2 linked regions of the Anolis sagrei genome follow. The protein of the gene in region 1 binds, or shares a complex with, the protein of each later gene. Links are inferred from orthologs where the notes say so. Each region holds a gene or a part of one and is shown on either strand. Other genes may lie near its edges.

Evidence for each region. The genes of interacting proteins can lie anywhere in the genome.
Region 2: the proteins of HCN2 (region 1) and PEX5L are in contact, whole or in part, in a crystal structure (PDB 4EQF), measured with the Mus musculus proteins. The link is inferred for Anolis sagrei from reciprocal best matches to the Homo sapiens genes HCN2 and PEX5L. Residues at the interface, in NP_032252.1 of Mus musculus: Leu859, Ser860, Ser861, Asn862, Leu863; in NP_001156988.1 of Mus musculus: Glu315, Glu317, Val343, Asn347, His426, Asn453, Arg454, Ala457, Thr458, Ala460, Asn461, Tyr472, Arg484, Tyr487, Asn488, Ile491, Ile494, Ile537.

What each region holds. Positions count from the first base shown.
Region 1 is NC_090034.1:52,435,742-52,443,113, forward strand, and holds the start of HCN2 (potassium/sodium hyperpolarization-activated cyclic nucleotide-gated channel 2), read right to left. Parts: upstream 2,988-7,372; coding exon 2,575-2,987; intron 1-2,574. UniProt on the Homo sapiens protein: Hyperpolarization-activated ion channel that is permeable to sodium and potassium ions. Displays lower selectivity for K(+) over Na(+) ions. Contributes to the native pacemaker currents in heart (If) and in neurons (Ih).
Region 2 is NC_090023.1:257,893,174-257,900,070, reverse strand, and holds the start of PEX5L (PEX5-related protein), read left to right. Parts: upstream 1-3,884; 5' UTR 3,885-3,921; coding exon 3,922-4,032; intron 4,033-6,897. UniProt on the Homo sapiens protein: Accessory subunit of hyperpolarization-activated cyclic nucleotide-gated (HCN) channels, regulating their cell-surface expression and cyclic nucleotide dependence.

The DNA.
Region 1 (7,372 bases):
CAAATCTTCTGTCTCACTTGAAATTACCTTACGGCTAGCTACAAATTTGCCACTAGCATGAAAGGATGATGATGATAACAATAATACAAGGGCAGTTACTCCCAATCTTCTTTTTCTTTCTTTCCTCCAGATTCAGCAGAGATGAAATTCCTGATCCTTCAATGAGAATTATCAGTGCACACTGCCATCCAACACTACTCGTGGGTGGCTACCCCGGTGGCGCAGTGGGTTAAATCCCTGTGCCGGCAGGACTGAAGACCAACAGGTCGCAGGTTTGAATCCGGGGAGAGGCGGATGAGCTCCCTCTATCAACTCCAGCTCCTCATGAGGGGACATGAGAGAAGCCTCCCACAAGGATGATAAAACATCGAATCATTCGGGCATCCCCTGGGCAATGTCCTTGCAGACGGCCAATTCTCTCATACCAGAAGCGATTTGCAGTTTCTCAAGTCGCTCCTAACACGATAAAAAAAACCAAACCCGGATATTTCTCTCTTTCCCACATTTCAATGGAAAGGGAGATTAGAGGACAATTGCTGAACACTTGCTTATATTGTTCTTATCCCAAGGTAATTGTTTCTTATCCCTACCCCAAGGTAACTGTCCCTTGTCCCTATCCCATGGTAATTGTTCCTTGTCCCTATCCCAAAGTATTTGCTCCTTGTCCCTATCCCAAGGTGTCTCGCTAACTGCTTCCGATTTCTCTCCTACAGAAACTTTCAGGATGAGAAGAGCCTTCTGTCTCTTCTGAATTTACTCTAAAGCTGCCTCTTTCTTACTTTGTGGTGTTCCTTCAACTTATGGTGACCCCATAAAACAAACTTATCACAGAGTTTTCTTGGGCAAGTTGTCCAAGGAAAGTACCTCTTCCATCACATTCATATCTTTCATGACTCTGAAGGCACGCTCTCCGATCCCATTTCCCTGAATTCTTGTAGAATACCAACACAACAAAGCTTTGCCACTACCAGAGGTTATTTCCCCAAGATAAAGACATCCAATCTTTGCAGAGTGACAAATACAAACTAACCGGAGGCAATCCCTCAGAGGCAATGCCCCCAAACTCCTAGTTCCTCAATGGAGCCACCACTCCATTGAGGAAATGCCCAGTTTCCTCACTATCTGAGGGACATTTCCCCAAGGAAGAGTAACTTCCATGTGGTAAAATGTCCAGAGGCAATTCTACTGAGGTAAACACCCCAGAGGTAATTTAACTTCACAGAGGTAGAATGTCCAGAGGGAATCCCCCTGAGATAATTTAACTTCCCAGAGATAATTCTCCTAAGGTAAATTTCCCAGAGGTAATTCCTCTGAGGTAAATGTTCCAAGGTAACTCAACTTTTGTGAGGTAAATGTCCCAGAGGTAATTGAACTTCCCTGAGGTAAAATGTCTTGAGGTAAATTTCCCTCAGGTAAATTCCCCAGGTTAATTTGACTTTCCAAAGGCAATTCTTCTGAGATAAATTTAACTTCTCTGAGGTAAATTGTTGTGAGGTAAATCTCTCTCAGGTAAAATGTCCAGAGGCAATTTTGACTTCCCTGTGGTAAACTGTCCTGGGGTAATTCTCCTGAGGTAAACTTGGGGCAATTTGACATTCCACGGGGGAACTTAACTGAGGTAATGTAATTCTCCTGATGTAAAATGTCATGAGGCAAATTGTTCTGAGGTAAACTTAACTGAAGTAATTTGCCTTTCCAGAGGTAATTGTCCTGAGGTAATTTAACTTCCATGAGGTAATTCTCCTGAGGTAAATCTCTCCTACATAAAATGTCCCAGTGCAATTTGACTTCCCTGAGGTAATTCTCCTGAGGTAAATTTCCCTGAGGTGAATTGTCTTGAGGTAAATTTCCCCGGAGGTGAATTGCCCTGAGGTAAATGTCATGGAGGTGAATTGTTCTGAGATGAATTTCTCTGAGGTAAATTAACTTCCCTGAGATGAACTGTCCCAAGGTAGATTTCCCTGAGGTAAATGTCATGGAGGTAATTCTCCTACAGTAAATTGTCCTGGGTAAATTTTGCAGCGGTGAATTCTCCTGATGTAAATTTTGCAGAGGTGAATATCACTGAGGTAATTCTCCTGAGGCGAATTTCCCTGAGGTAATTCAACTTCCCTGAGATGAATTATCCTGAGGAAAATTTCCCTGAGGTAACTGGCCTGAGGTAAACTGTCTGGAAGTAAATTTTCCTGAGGTGAACTTCCCTGAGGTAATTTACCTTCCCTGAGGTGAATTCTCCCGAGGTAAATTTCTCTGAGGTGAATTGTGCTGAGGTAAATGTCATGGGGGTAAATTCTCCCGAGGTAAATTTCCCTGACATAAACTTCCCTGAGGTGAATTGTTCCGAGGTAAATGTCCCTGAGGTGAATTGTCCCAAGGTGATTTTCCCTGAAGTAATTTGACTTGCCAGAGGGAATTCTCCTGAGGTGAAATGTCTCCCAGGTAAAATGTCCCGGGGCCATTTGACTTCTGTCCCTGAGGTAATTTAATTTCCCCAGCGAGGGGAATCTCGCTGGGGCGAACGTGACTCCGCGAGCCAGGCCTCCCTCCCTTCCCTCCCTCGCTCCGCTTCCTCGCCTGAAGTCGCTGTAGGGGTGGATGATCCAGGCGCCGGCGGACTTGACGCGCTCCTGCTCGCGCTCGACGGCCTTCTGGGAGCCGAACATCCGCAGCGAGAACTTGTTGACGCCGGGCTGGAGCATGGCGCTGAACTGGCGCTGCATGAAGGTGGGCCCCTGGTTGGTGCCGCTTCCGCGGGGCTCGCCACCCTCCTCGCAGGCCCCGGGCCCGGCATCCTCGCCCGCCTTCGGGGACGAGCCCGAGCCCCCGCCGCCCCCTCCGTCGCAGGAGAAGGAGACCTTGGGGGGCGCAGGCTCGGCTCCCCCGCCGCCCCGCCGGCACTCGCCGTTCGGGGAGCCGCCTTTCCCGGCCCGCGAACCCATCGTGCTGTCCTCCACCGCGACGCCGCCGCGACTGCCGCCCGCCCGCATGCCGGAGAGGCCAGGCGCGCCAGGCCCCGCCCACTCCCCCGCGCACGCGCACTCCGCGCCCGGCGCGCCCGGCTCCTGCGGCAGCCGCTCTGGAGAGGAAGGGGGAAAGGGGCGGGGCCTCCGGGGAAAGGGGCGGGGCCAAGGAAGGCGGGAAAGAAAAGGGAAGGTCAAAAGGGGGAGGCTGAGGAGGAGAGGAAATGAGGAGAAGGAAGTGGGGAGGAAGGTCAAGAGAGAAGGGAAAAAGAGAGGACAAGGAAAGTCAAGAAGGCATTGCAGGAGGAAGAACAAGAGGATGAGAGAGGAAAGGTCAAAAGGGAAGGACAAGGGAGAGGGAAGAAGGAAATGAGTAAGGAGAGAGAGAAAAGGGAAGAAAAGGAAGTGGGAAGAAAGGTCAAAAGAGAAGGAGAAGACAAGAGGACGGGAGAAGGAAAGGGAAGAAGGAAATGAGAAAGAGAATGGGAAAAGAAGGGCACAAGGAGGAAAAGGAAGTGAGAAGGAAGGTCAAAAGAAAAGAAGACAAGAGGATGGGAGAAGGAAAGGGAAGAAGGAAATGAGAAAGAGGAAAGGAAAGAAAGGAAGGGCACACAGAGGAAAAGGAAGTGAGAAGGAAGGTCAGAAGAAAAGAAGACAAGAGGATGGGAGAAGGAAAGGAAAGAAGGAAATGAGAAAGAGGAAAGGAAAGAAAGGAAGGGCACACAGAGGAAAAGGAAGTGAGAAGGAAGGTCAAAAGAAAAGAAGACGAGGATGGGAGAAGGAAAGGGAAGAAGGAAATGAGAAAGAGGAAAGGAAAGAAAGGAAGGGCACACAGAGGAAAAGGAAGTGAGAAGGAAGGTCAAAAGAAAAGAAGACAAGAGGATGGAAGAAGGAAATGAGAAAGGGAAGAGAAGGGCACAGGGAGGAAAAGGAAGATGGAAGGAAGGTTAAAAGAGAGACAAGGAAAGGGAAGATGAGGGAGGTAGGAAGAAGGGAAAGACAAGCAGGAAATGAGAGGGGAAGGACATGAATGTGAAGAAAGGACACTGGAAGAAAAAGAAGTGGGGAGGAAGGTCAAGAGAAAAGGAAAAGACAAGGGGAGGGGAAGAGGAAATGAGGGAGGAAAAACAGGAAGATGAGGGTATGAAGATCAAAAGAGAGGGAAGAAGGGAAGAAAAAAGAAAGAAAGATGGAACAAGGAATGGGAGAAGGAAATTAAGAAGGAGGGGGACAGGAAGAAAAGGAAGTGAGAAGGAAGGTCAAAAGAGGGAAGGACAATGGAAGGGAAGAAGGGATAAAAAAGAACTAAAAGAGGGGAAGGGAAGGAAACGAAGGAGGCAGGAAGAAGGAAAGGAAAAAGAAGAGAGAAATGAGGAAGGAAAAGAGGGAGAAAAGGGAAGGAAGGTCAAAAGAGAGGGAAGGGGAGAAGGAGATGGGGAGAAGAAAGAGGGAGAAAAGGGAAGGGCACAGGAAGAAAAGTAAGTGGGGAGGAAGGTCAAGAGGGAGGGGAATAAGGACATGAGAAAGAAGATAGAGAAAAGGGAAGGAAGGGCACAGGGAGGAAAAAGAAGTGGGAAGGAAGGTCAAAACAAGGAAAGTGAAGATGAGAAAGGGAGGAAGAAGGGAAAGACAAGCAGGAAATGAGGAAGAAGGCGTTATAAAAGTAAAGGAGATTAATGGGGAGAAAGGGCACGGGAAGAAAAGAAAGTGGGAAGGTCAAGAGAGAAGACAAAAGGAGGGAGAGAAGGAAATGAGGGAGAAAGAACAGGAGGGTGAGGGAGGGAAGGGTAAGGATAAGGGAAGAAGAAGAGGAAGGAAGAAGTTAAGGGCGATGAGGGAAGTTAAGGGCACATGAAGAAGAGGAAGTGGGGAGGAAGGTCAAAAGGAAGAGGAGAGGGGAAGGGGAGAAGGAAATGAAAAGAAAGTGGGAAGGAAGGTCAAAAGGGAGGGAGAGATTGAGAGAAGGGAGGGAGGAGGAAATGTGGGAGGAAGAAGAAAAGGACGAGGAAAGGGAAGGAGGAGGAAGAGGACAATGAAGGAAGGAATAGCACATGAATCAAAGGAAGTGGGAAGGAAGGTGAAGAAAGAAGGAGAAGATAGGAGGGGAGAAGGAAATGAGGGAGGAAGAACAGGAGGATGAGGGAAGGAAGTTAAAAAGAGAGAGAAGTGGGAAGGAAAAAGAAGAGAGCTCAAGGAAAGGAAGGAAATGAGGGAGGAAGGGCACAGGAAAAAAGAAGTGGGAATGAAGGTCAAGAGAAAGAAAAGGACAAGGGAAGGGAAGAAGGAAAAAGGGGTAAAAAAAATAAAAGAATGCAAGGAGATGGAAGAAGGAGATGAGGGAGGAAGAAGGGAAGGAAAAAGAAAGGACAAGGAAGAAAGAAACGAAGGAAAAGGGAGAAAAGGAAAGGAAGGTCAAAAGAAAGGGAAGGACAAGGGATGGGGAGAAGGAGAGGAGGGAGGAAGCAGGGAAGGGAAAAGAAAGAAGAGGGAAAAGGAAGAAAATGAGGGAGGAAGAAAAGGGAAGAAAGGGCACAGGAAGAAAAGGAAGTGGGAAGGAAGGTCAAAAGAGAGGCAAGGTTAAAGAAGGGGAAGAAGGAAATGAGGGAGGAGCGAAAGATTAATGGAAGGAAGGAGGTTAGGAAGGGCACTGGAAGGCCAAAAGAGGTAAAGGAAGGGAAGATGGATGAACGAAAGAAGATGTAATCAAAAGGAGGGAAAGTGGGATGATGGGCAAAAGGAAGGCCTAAAGAAGAGGAGGAAAAGTTCAGATGAGAATGAGAGAAGAGCGGAAGGGAGAAAATTATAGAGGATTTCAGTGGGGAGGGAAAGCATGGCAGTCAAAAAGGGTCTCTAACTGCATGAATTCTACAGTGTAGATGCACGCAATGACTGCTCAAGCAGTGGCCCATTATCTTCAGCAGCTATTCATAAGTGCATTCAACCCGCTGGATCCCTCCAGTGGCAAATGAAATGCTTTCTCAGTCTCCCTAATTTAGACTGCCGGCCAGCCTTGAGGAGAGATGGCATGCGGAAATGGTATTAATGTCAAAGCCCATTTAGACTCTGGTCCCGAGATGCAGCTCGGCCTGATTTGAAATGCAGATAGGCAACCCTTCCTTTGGAAATGTGGATAATCATCTCAAACGTTTTCCTTCTGGGAAAGCATCCGCTTACATTATGGTTTAGTGCTTAGGTTTCGCTTTAACGAAGCAAGACTATTATAAAGGAACCCAAAGAGGCCGTCTGTGGTTTGTCTTGGGGTTCAAAATCCCGTTTTACAGATAGCATCATTGTGATTTTTCAAAAATGTGAAGAAATAAAGAAACGGGAGGGAAGGCAAAGGATGGAGGGATGTAAGGGATGGAGAAAGAAAGAGAGAGAAGGGGGCATATGAGGACAATGGAAGGAAGGACGGAAAGAAAGAGCCACAAAGAGAGCCTGCCACAGCTTTGCCACAGAAGCATTGCAAAGTAGGCCTTCTTGGAGCTGCAGAAAGGAGAAAGTAGGCAAGGAAGGGGAGAAGAAAGGAAAGAGAAAATGATAGGAAAGAATGGAAATGAGGGAGGGAGAAATGAAAGAAATGGGAAAGAAGAGAAAGCCGGTAGGCCACCTTAGAGCTTGAGAACGGAGGCAAGGAAGGGAAGAAGGAAGGCAAAACAAAAATGATAGGAAAGAAAGGAAACAAGGGAAGGACACAAAAGAAAAAGAACGGAAAGGAAGGGAGAGAAAGGAGGTAGGACATCTTAGAGCTGGAGAAAGGATAAAGCAGGCAGGGATGGGAAGAAATGAGAAAAATGATAGGAAAGAAAAGAGAGAGGGAGATGGAAGAAAGAAAAAGGAAGAAAGAGAATGCAGGGAGGCCACCTTAGAGCTGGAGAAAGGAAGCAAGGAAGAAAAGAAGGAAGGCAAAACAAAAACGATAGGAAAGAAAGGAAACAAGGGAAGGACACAAAAGAAAAAAACAGAAGGGAAGGGAGAGAAAGGAGGTAGGGCATCTTAGAGCTGGAGAAAGGAAAAAGCAGGCAGGGATGGGAAGAAGAAATGAAAGAGAAAAATGATAGGACAGAAAAGAGGGAGAGATAGAAGAAAGAAAAAGGAAGAAAGAGAACGCAGGGAGGCCACCTTAGAGCTGGAGAAAGGAGGCAAGGGAAGAAGGAAGAAAAGAGAAAAATGACAGGAAAGAAAGGAAAGGGGGGAGTAAAATGGAAGAAAAAGGATGGAAGAGAAAGGTAGGCCATCTTAGAGCTGGAGAAAGGAGAAAGTACGCAAGGAAGTTAAGAAGAAAAGACAAAATGATAGGAAAGAGAGGGAAATGAAAGAAAAAGAAGGGAAGAGAAAGGAGGTAGGCCATCTTAGAGCTGGAGAAAGGAGAAAGTAGGCAAGGAAGGGAAGGAGGGAGGGAAGAAAGGGGA
Region 2 (6,897 bases), on another chromosome or scaffold:
TGCTATGGGATCCTGGGAGCTGTTTTACAAGGTCTTTAGACTTGTCTGCCAAAGAATGCCAAAGAATGCTGCTGCCTCACCAAATTATGAATCCCAGCATTGCATAGCATTGAGCCAGGGCAGTTAAAAGTGGTGTCAGCCATGAAAGAAAGGAGAGGAGAGGTGGAGAGATACAGAGAGGATGAAGGAGATCTCAATAGGAAAGAAAAGGAAAAAGGGGTTTGGAGAGATCGATAGGAAGAAAAGGAGAAAGGGTTTGGGGGGATTGATAGGAAGAACAAGGAAAGGGGGTTTGAAAAGATCAATAGGAAGGAAGGGGAAAGGGCATTTAGAGAGATCAATAGGAAGAACAAAGAAAGAAGTTTGCAGGGATCCATAGGAAGAAAAGTAGTTTGGATATCAATAGGAAGAAAAAGGAAATGAGTTTGGAGAGATATAGACATGCTTTGGCTCAGCGCTAAGATTTTATGGCAAGGAGAGAGATGGAAGAAGCTTGTTCATAACTATGAGTTGTTCATAACTTGGAAGTTATTAACTCAGAGACTGGCAGTAATTTGATAGTCATTCCAAGTAACACTAACAAGTCTTAGGCTACATCATGAGACTCAGTCCTTGTATTATGGAGTGAGTGAAGTAGGGGGCTCATAACTAAATCCATAAGCTCCACTTCCTAATCTTCTCCAGTTTTAACCTTTCCAGGGTCAGTAAGGGGAGTGCCTATTACTTGGGATTAATGCACTTTCCACTTCAGCAAAAGGTAGTGTGATATAGGTGCGTCAACCGAAAACTACGCTAAATGCAGGTGAGGAAAAACACAAAACCTTTGTTATCTCTAGTATCCCCCCCCCCTTTTTTTTTTTTACAGTTCATTAGTCCCTGATAGCATTAATCTCAGGATGTGTCAGAAGTGGTTGTATTGTGATCTCTTTGAGAATAGCAGCTGATCTTAGACCATTAGACTTGGTTCCCTTTGAATGTTCATCTAAGTGGCAGGTAGCTTGCAGAGCAGGAGATCTGACAGATGAAACAGCCAGTAGAAATTAAGGATGCCATTGGGAAATTTACCTGTCCGCCCTTTTTTTAACAGAGAGAGTTCCTCCTAGCTGGAAAAAAATGGGGGAGGTATCAGAATCATTACTTTGTCTATCTTGGAGGATAAGAGACATGAAGTAGGTAATTGGGATAATTTGGTATTGAGTAGATTTTTCTTGTGAAGCGGGATAATAGCTTCTCAGATTACATAGAGTCACTTCTTTTAATGATGTCACTGTAATGGATATTCACATGCCAAACAGGAAAGCATTATATATCATAATAAATAATAATAGTATCTGTATGTATTGAATAATATATATAAAGCATTTTCAGCTGGAAAAGGAGAATAAGAAACCAATAGAATTTAATGAGGCATGAGGATGCACAATAGGCAAAGAAGGCTGAGTTACTCTTGGAGGTGGTTGACAATGGACCATTGGGTAGAAAGGGAAATGGGATGGATTTTGCTGACACAGGATCTGAGCGAGTGAAATTTTGAACAGGAGCAGTTAACCATGCAAGATCTTGTTGATGGTTGCATTGTTGTCAGTTCTGGCCCAACTAACCTGTCCAAACACATCTTCTCCTATGAACCAGCTAGGACAGTGGTTCTCAACCTGGGGTTCCCAGATGTTTTTGGCCTACAACTCCCAGAAATCCCAGCCAGTTTACCAGCTGTTAGGATTTCTGGGAATTGTAGGCCAAAAATATCTGGGGACCCCAGATTGAGAATCACTGAGCTAGGACATTAAGATCGTCTGGGGAGGCCCTGCTCTTGATCCCACCTGCATCACAAGTACATTTGGCGGGGACGAGAGACAGGGCCTTCTCAGTGGTGGCCCCTCGGCTGTGGAATGCCCTTCCTACAGAAATTAAATCAACCCCCTCCCTGTTAGCATTTCGGAGGAAAGTGAAGACCTGGTTGTTCGAGGAGGCATTTGAATAGGCAGTGTAACGAATATAGGAATATGGAACAATTGGATGATGAGACTAGATCTTGATTTTAACTATGGACAGTATGAGATGTTATATGATGTTTAATTTATTGTTATAATGCTATTGTTTTAATTGTTTTTAACTGTTTTATGATGTTTTACGCATTGAATTTTGCTATTGTGAATCGCTCTAAGTCGCCCGAGGGCTGAGAAGAGCGGTATGCAAATATAATAAATAAATAAATAAATTTACATTGTATAATGCCCAGGTCTTTAGTCCATCACGGTGGACCTCAGGCCCTATTGCCTAAACCAGCCTTTTTGGGATCACAATCCAGACTACAGTTTATTCTTTCAGCATCATATTTACCTCCACCTGATCCCAGGTTCAGATCTCATCCCTTAAAATGTTTCCCCGTTTCTAGATGTTTGAAATGCTTATCCCAGGAGGTAATAACTAGCATATTTGTTAGTAAAGTCTAAATTTGCCAGCACTTTTGCTTGTGGGCTCAATCCTAGCTGTCTCTGAAATTGGATCTGCTTCCACTTTTGCTTTCAACTGTGTATGTGTGTGTATGAGAGAGAGAGAGCATGAAAGAGAGAGAAAAGCTTTAAAGCAGAAACATCACTTCAGGCAGTTGAAAACCCATGGAGTTCAACTGAGGAAGAGTGAAGAGTGGGAGTGAGAAACAGAGCAAGCCAAAGGAGTTAGATGGAAAGATTTAAGTGATAAGTGAGTGAAAGGATTGTGAGGGAGAGGGTTAGTCAGAGAAAGAGATAAGTGATTCATCAGATAAAGCCCATTTGTTGCTTGATTTCTCTCAATAATAATTCATAAGTTCTTTGATACTTTTAGTACCTCTTGCTGCATGCCTACTTTCACTTTTTTTTTCTGTTCTCTGCCTGTTTTGAGGGGTGGCAACTGTCAAGTATTTCACATGGAATAGTGCCATTATGTCTCAAAAACATGCTGAGCTTTAGCAAACTACAAATCCCAGGATTCCATAACATTGAGCCATGGCAAGTAAAGTGGTGTCGAACTGCATTCCTTCTACAGTGTAGATGCTCAGGAAGTCAGTGTGGAAAATTATCCATACTGGAAATACAAAGTTTTATTTTTTTTTCTTTTAAAAATTCCAAGCTATTAGGACTACAGTATTATTATATTTTATATCAATGGGATGTGTTATTAATTGCTTATTCCTTTTTTTGTATTTTACTGTATTGTACTTTATTGTATTATTCATGTTGTAAGCCACCCCAAGTCCCCTGGGAAGAGGAATTGGGATAGAAAAAAACATTATTATTATTATTATTATTATTATTATTATTATTTGAAAAAAAACAAGATGAGTCCACAGGAGACACTCTGCTGGCTGTTGAATTGGATCACACGTCGGACACTTCCCAAGTGTCTAGGACTGTGTGATGTATCGGCAAATAATGCATGCAGATCCCAGTAAGGTGGTCTTCTGCAGCTGGCAGATAGTAATTTTGTCAGCGCCGATTGTGTTTAAGTGCAGGCCAAGGTCTTTAGGCACTGCACCCAATGTGCCGATCACCACTGGGACCACCTTGGCTGGCTTGTGCCAGAGTCTTTGCAGTTTGATCTTTAAATCTTCATATTGTGTCAACTTTTCTAGTTGTTTCACTTCGATCATGCTGTCACCTGGGATTGCAACATAGACAATCCATACTTTGTTGTTGTTATTATTATTATTATATTGGGTTTTTTTATTGCTGCATTTTAAAATATACCCTTTCCCCAATGAACACCAGCCAGTTTTCCACTATTATGACCCTAAAGTGCAAGTTGGGCTACAATACATTGACTTGACCTGCATTAGAGAGATTTTCTCAGGGCAAAGCTGAGATTAGAACCTGTGTAATCTTAGTCAACATTCTAGCACTCCACCCATTATGCTGGATAGGCTTCTCCTGTGCGAATAATATGTTGGAATTGCACTGCAGGAAGGGCATAGCAGATGGTTCTTTCTGTATGCAGTTCTTCTCAGGCTCTGTGATGTGCAGGGATGGCAACTGTTGTTTTCCAATGTGCCAGGTATGACATTTTGGTACAATTGTTTGTTTATTTATTTCCTGTAGACTTGCCAGGGACTGACAGGCAGTGATTCAGGGACCACTTTGAGTAGCACAGAGGTTGGGCAAGACTTCAGAACCCTGGACAGTTCTTTGCTCATCCAAAGGCATGGAGAAGGCAATAAACTTTGTGATGCTAATTTTTGAAATCATATGTTATCATTTAATGTGGTATTTTATGGAAAAAAAACATAGTGGTTAAAATTTTTGGTCCTTGTCCAAAAGGGACAAATGTGGTTCAACAACAGAGGAAAATGGGAAGCAAAAAGCAATACCACAGTGCAAAAGCCGCAAAAACAAGTACTAAAAATACTAAAAATGTAGTGGGATGGTGGTAGTAATGATTATTGTGATGATAGAAGCATTACAATCAGGAACATGTCAGATTTCTTATCCAGGTCGGCATCTTGTTTACCCTTCTAGCCAACTACCTTTCTCTAGGAAGCATACATTAAAACTTGGGTGGGCAACTGCGTTGGGAGGAAGAAATAGTTCTGTCCTCATTGTGTAGACTCTACTAACTGGCAATTGTGACCAAAAGTCATTTCTAGTTGTGACTCCTCTTTCAGTAGACAAGTGCATTAGTTTTTCCTTGGGGTTAAATTAACAACTTATTGATTTCCTAACATTCTAGACCAGGGGTCCTCAAACTTTTTAAACAGAGGGCCAGGTCACAGTCCCTCAAACTGTTGGAGGGCCAGATTATAATTTGAAAAAAGCATTAATGAATTCCTATGCACAATGCACATATCTTATTTGTCGTGCAAAAAACAGTTAAAAACAATACAATAATTAAAATGAATAACAATTTTAACAAATATAAACTTACTAGTATTTCAGTGGGAAGTGTGGGCCTGCTTTTGGCTGATGAGATAGGATTGTTGTTGTTGTTGTTGTTATTGTTGTGTGCTTTCAAGTCATTTCAGACTTAGGTTGACCCCAAGCAAGGGTCGGGTAAATGACCTTGGGGGGCCGTATCCAGCCCTTGGGCCTTAGTTTGAGGATCCCTGTTCTACACAATGTGAGGATGAAAATGTTTCAGAACCTGGAATTATCTGTATTGCTTATACATGCATATGAGCCTGTCCACCTAAAAAGAAGATGGAACAATCTTGTTTTGTGTTGTTCCAGAGACTACAAAACAAATGAATGGATTCAAATGTCAATGTGAATTGCACATAAAGGAAGACCAATGGTAGAAACTGCTCAATGGTGGAATAGAAAGTTTTGAAAAGTGGTGAACTCTCCATATTTGGAGATACACAAGATTTTGGACTGGCATCTTTCATTGGTATTTTCATCTGCATATTCCTGCATGGCAGGGGGTTAGACTGGATGGCCTTTGAGAGCAGATCTCACTTTATGATTCTTCAAAGAACACTTTGCATTACCTTTTACACATATGTTCAGGTTAGACATGACAGTTGGAGTCGATCTGGAGGTTCATAATTCCAGCAAAGTCCAAACACTAACTTTTCCAAGCTGTAGTTAAATAGTCCTTTAGTTTGAGCTGACAGAGATCTTTCTGTGTCCTGATGAGCAGCAACAGAAGAAGAGAAATGCATTGCAAGTTTCCATTACTTGGAAAATACAATTTACTTTCTTTCCTCTTAACACACACACACAAAATCTATTTCCTTTCTCCAACAATAGTCCTGAAAGATTTGCTAAGTTAGCATATTTGACCCAGCCTCGGAAGAGTCAGGTGCTACCACCCTGTTCTGCTCACCAATGGAAAATGCAGATTCCCAGGTGGCTTGCTATTCTGAACACCTGGGTGTTCTTTAAAAAGCACCTGCAGAATTGACAATGAGCAAGAAGGCAGCAGAATCTTATCGAGCGGTGTGCCTAGAGACCCAATTACTTTCCAGAGCAGTTGGAAAATTGGGTAGGGACAGAGATAACCTTGAAAAAAAATGTGAAAAGCCATGGTCTCACGTTTTAAAAATATAGATCTGCGTTGCCCTTCAGTGATGAACTTTAATTCCTCTCCAGGCTCTTGATCTCTGCAAAGAAGATGTGGGTTAGTGTAGTGACTACAAAGCCTGCAGAATCTAGGGCAATGTGTACATTTATGTCTACTTTTTAAAAGTTATCAAAGGATGTAATTTCTTTGAGCAATAAAGCAAATGGAGAACTTGATATTTCATCCAACCAACAATGGGTCACTTTTAGGACAAGTTCACATATTTCCATTTTTGTTAAGGGTGCATGAATGTGAAATGAGGCAGGTCTGGAACAAATTCCAGAGTAGATATCATAACAACGTGTGGTAAAGTGCAATATAGTGGCATAATTATGTAATGCAAAAAGATCCTAGCATTGCATTTGCAAAACAGTTGTCTCTCCATATTTGCAGTTTTGGTTATTCATATATTTCATTAAAACTGTTCTCTCTAGCATGTTTATGTCCTCAGGTGCTATTCTATATTTAGATTCCACTGGCTGTTGACCATAGGGTGGTACTGGAAAACCTAGAAATTTCTCGAGGGGGTAAATTTGATCTAAGAAAACTAATTAAAAATGGCTATAATGCCACCATACGTTTTGTAATCTTAATAGAAAAGCATTTGTTGTTTGTTGTTTTATACTTTCAAGTTGTTTCCAACATAAGGTGACCCTATCATGGAGCTTTTCTGGCAAGATTGGTTCAGAGGGGTTTGTCACTGCCTTCCTCTGAGGCTGAGAAAATGTGATTTGCCCAAGGCCATCACTGATATTTGCAGGCCTGAGCTGGAAACCTAAACTTCGTCTTCCAGAGCCCTCGTCCAACATTCAAAACAATACTACATTGGTTCTTTTACTTTTATCTCAATGGAGTCAAAGC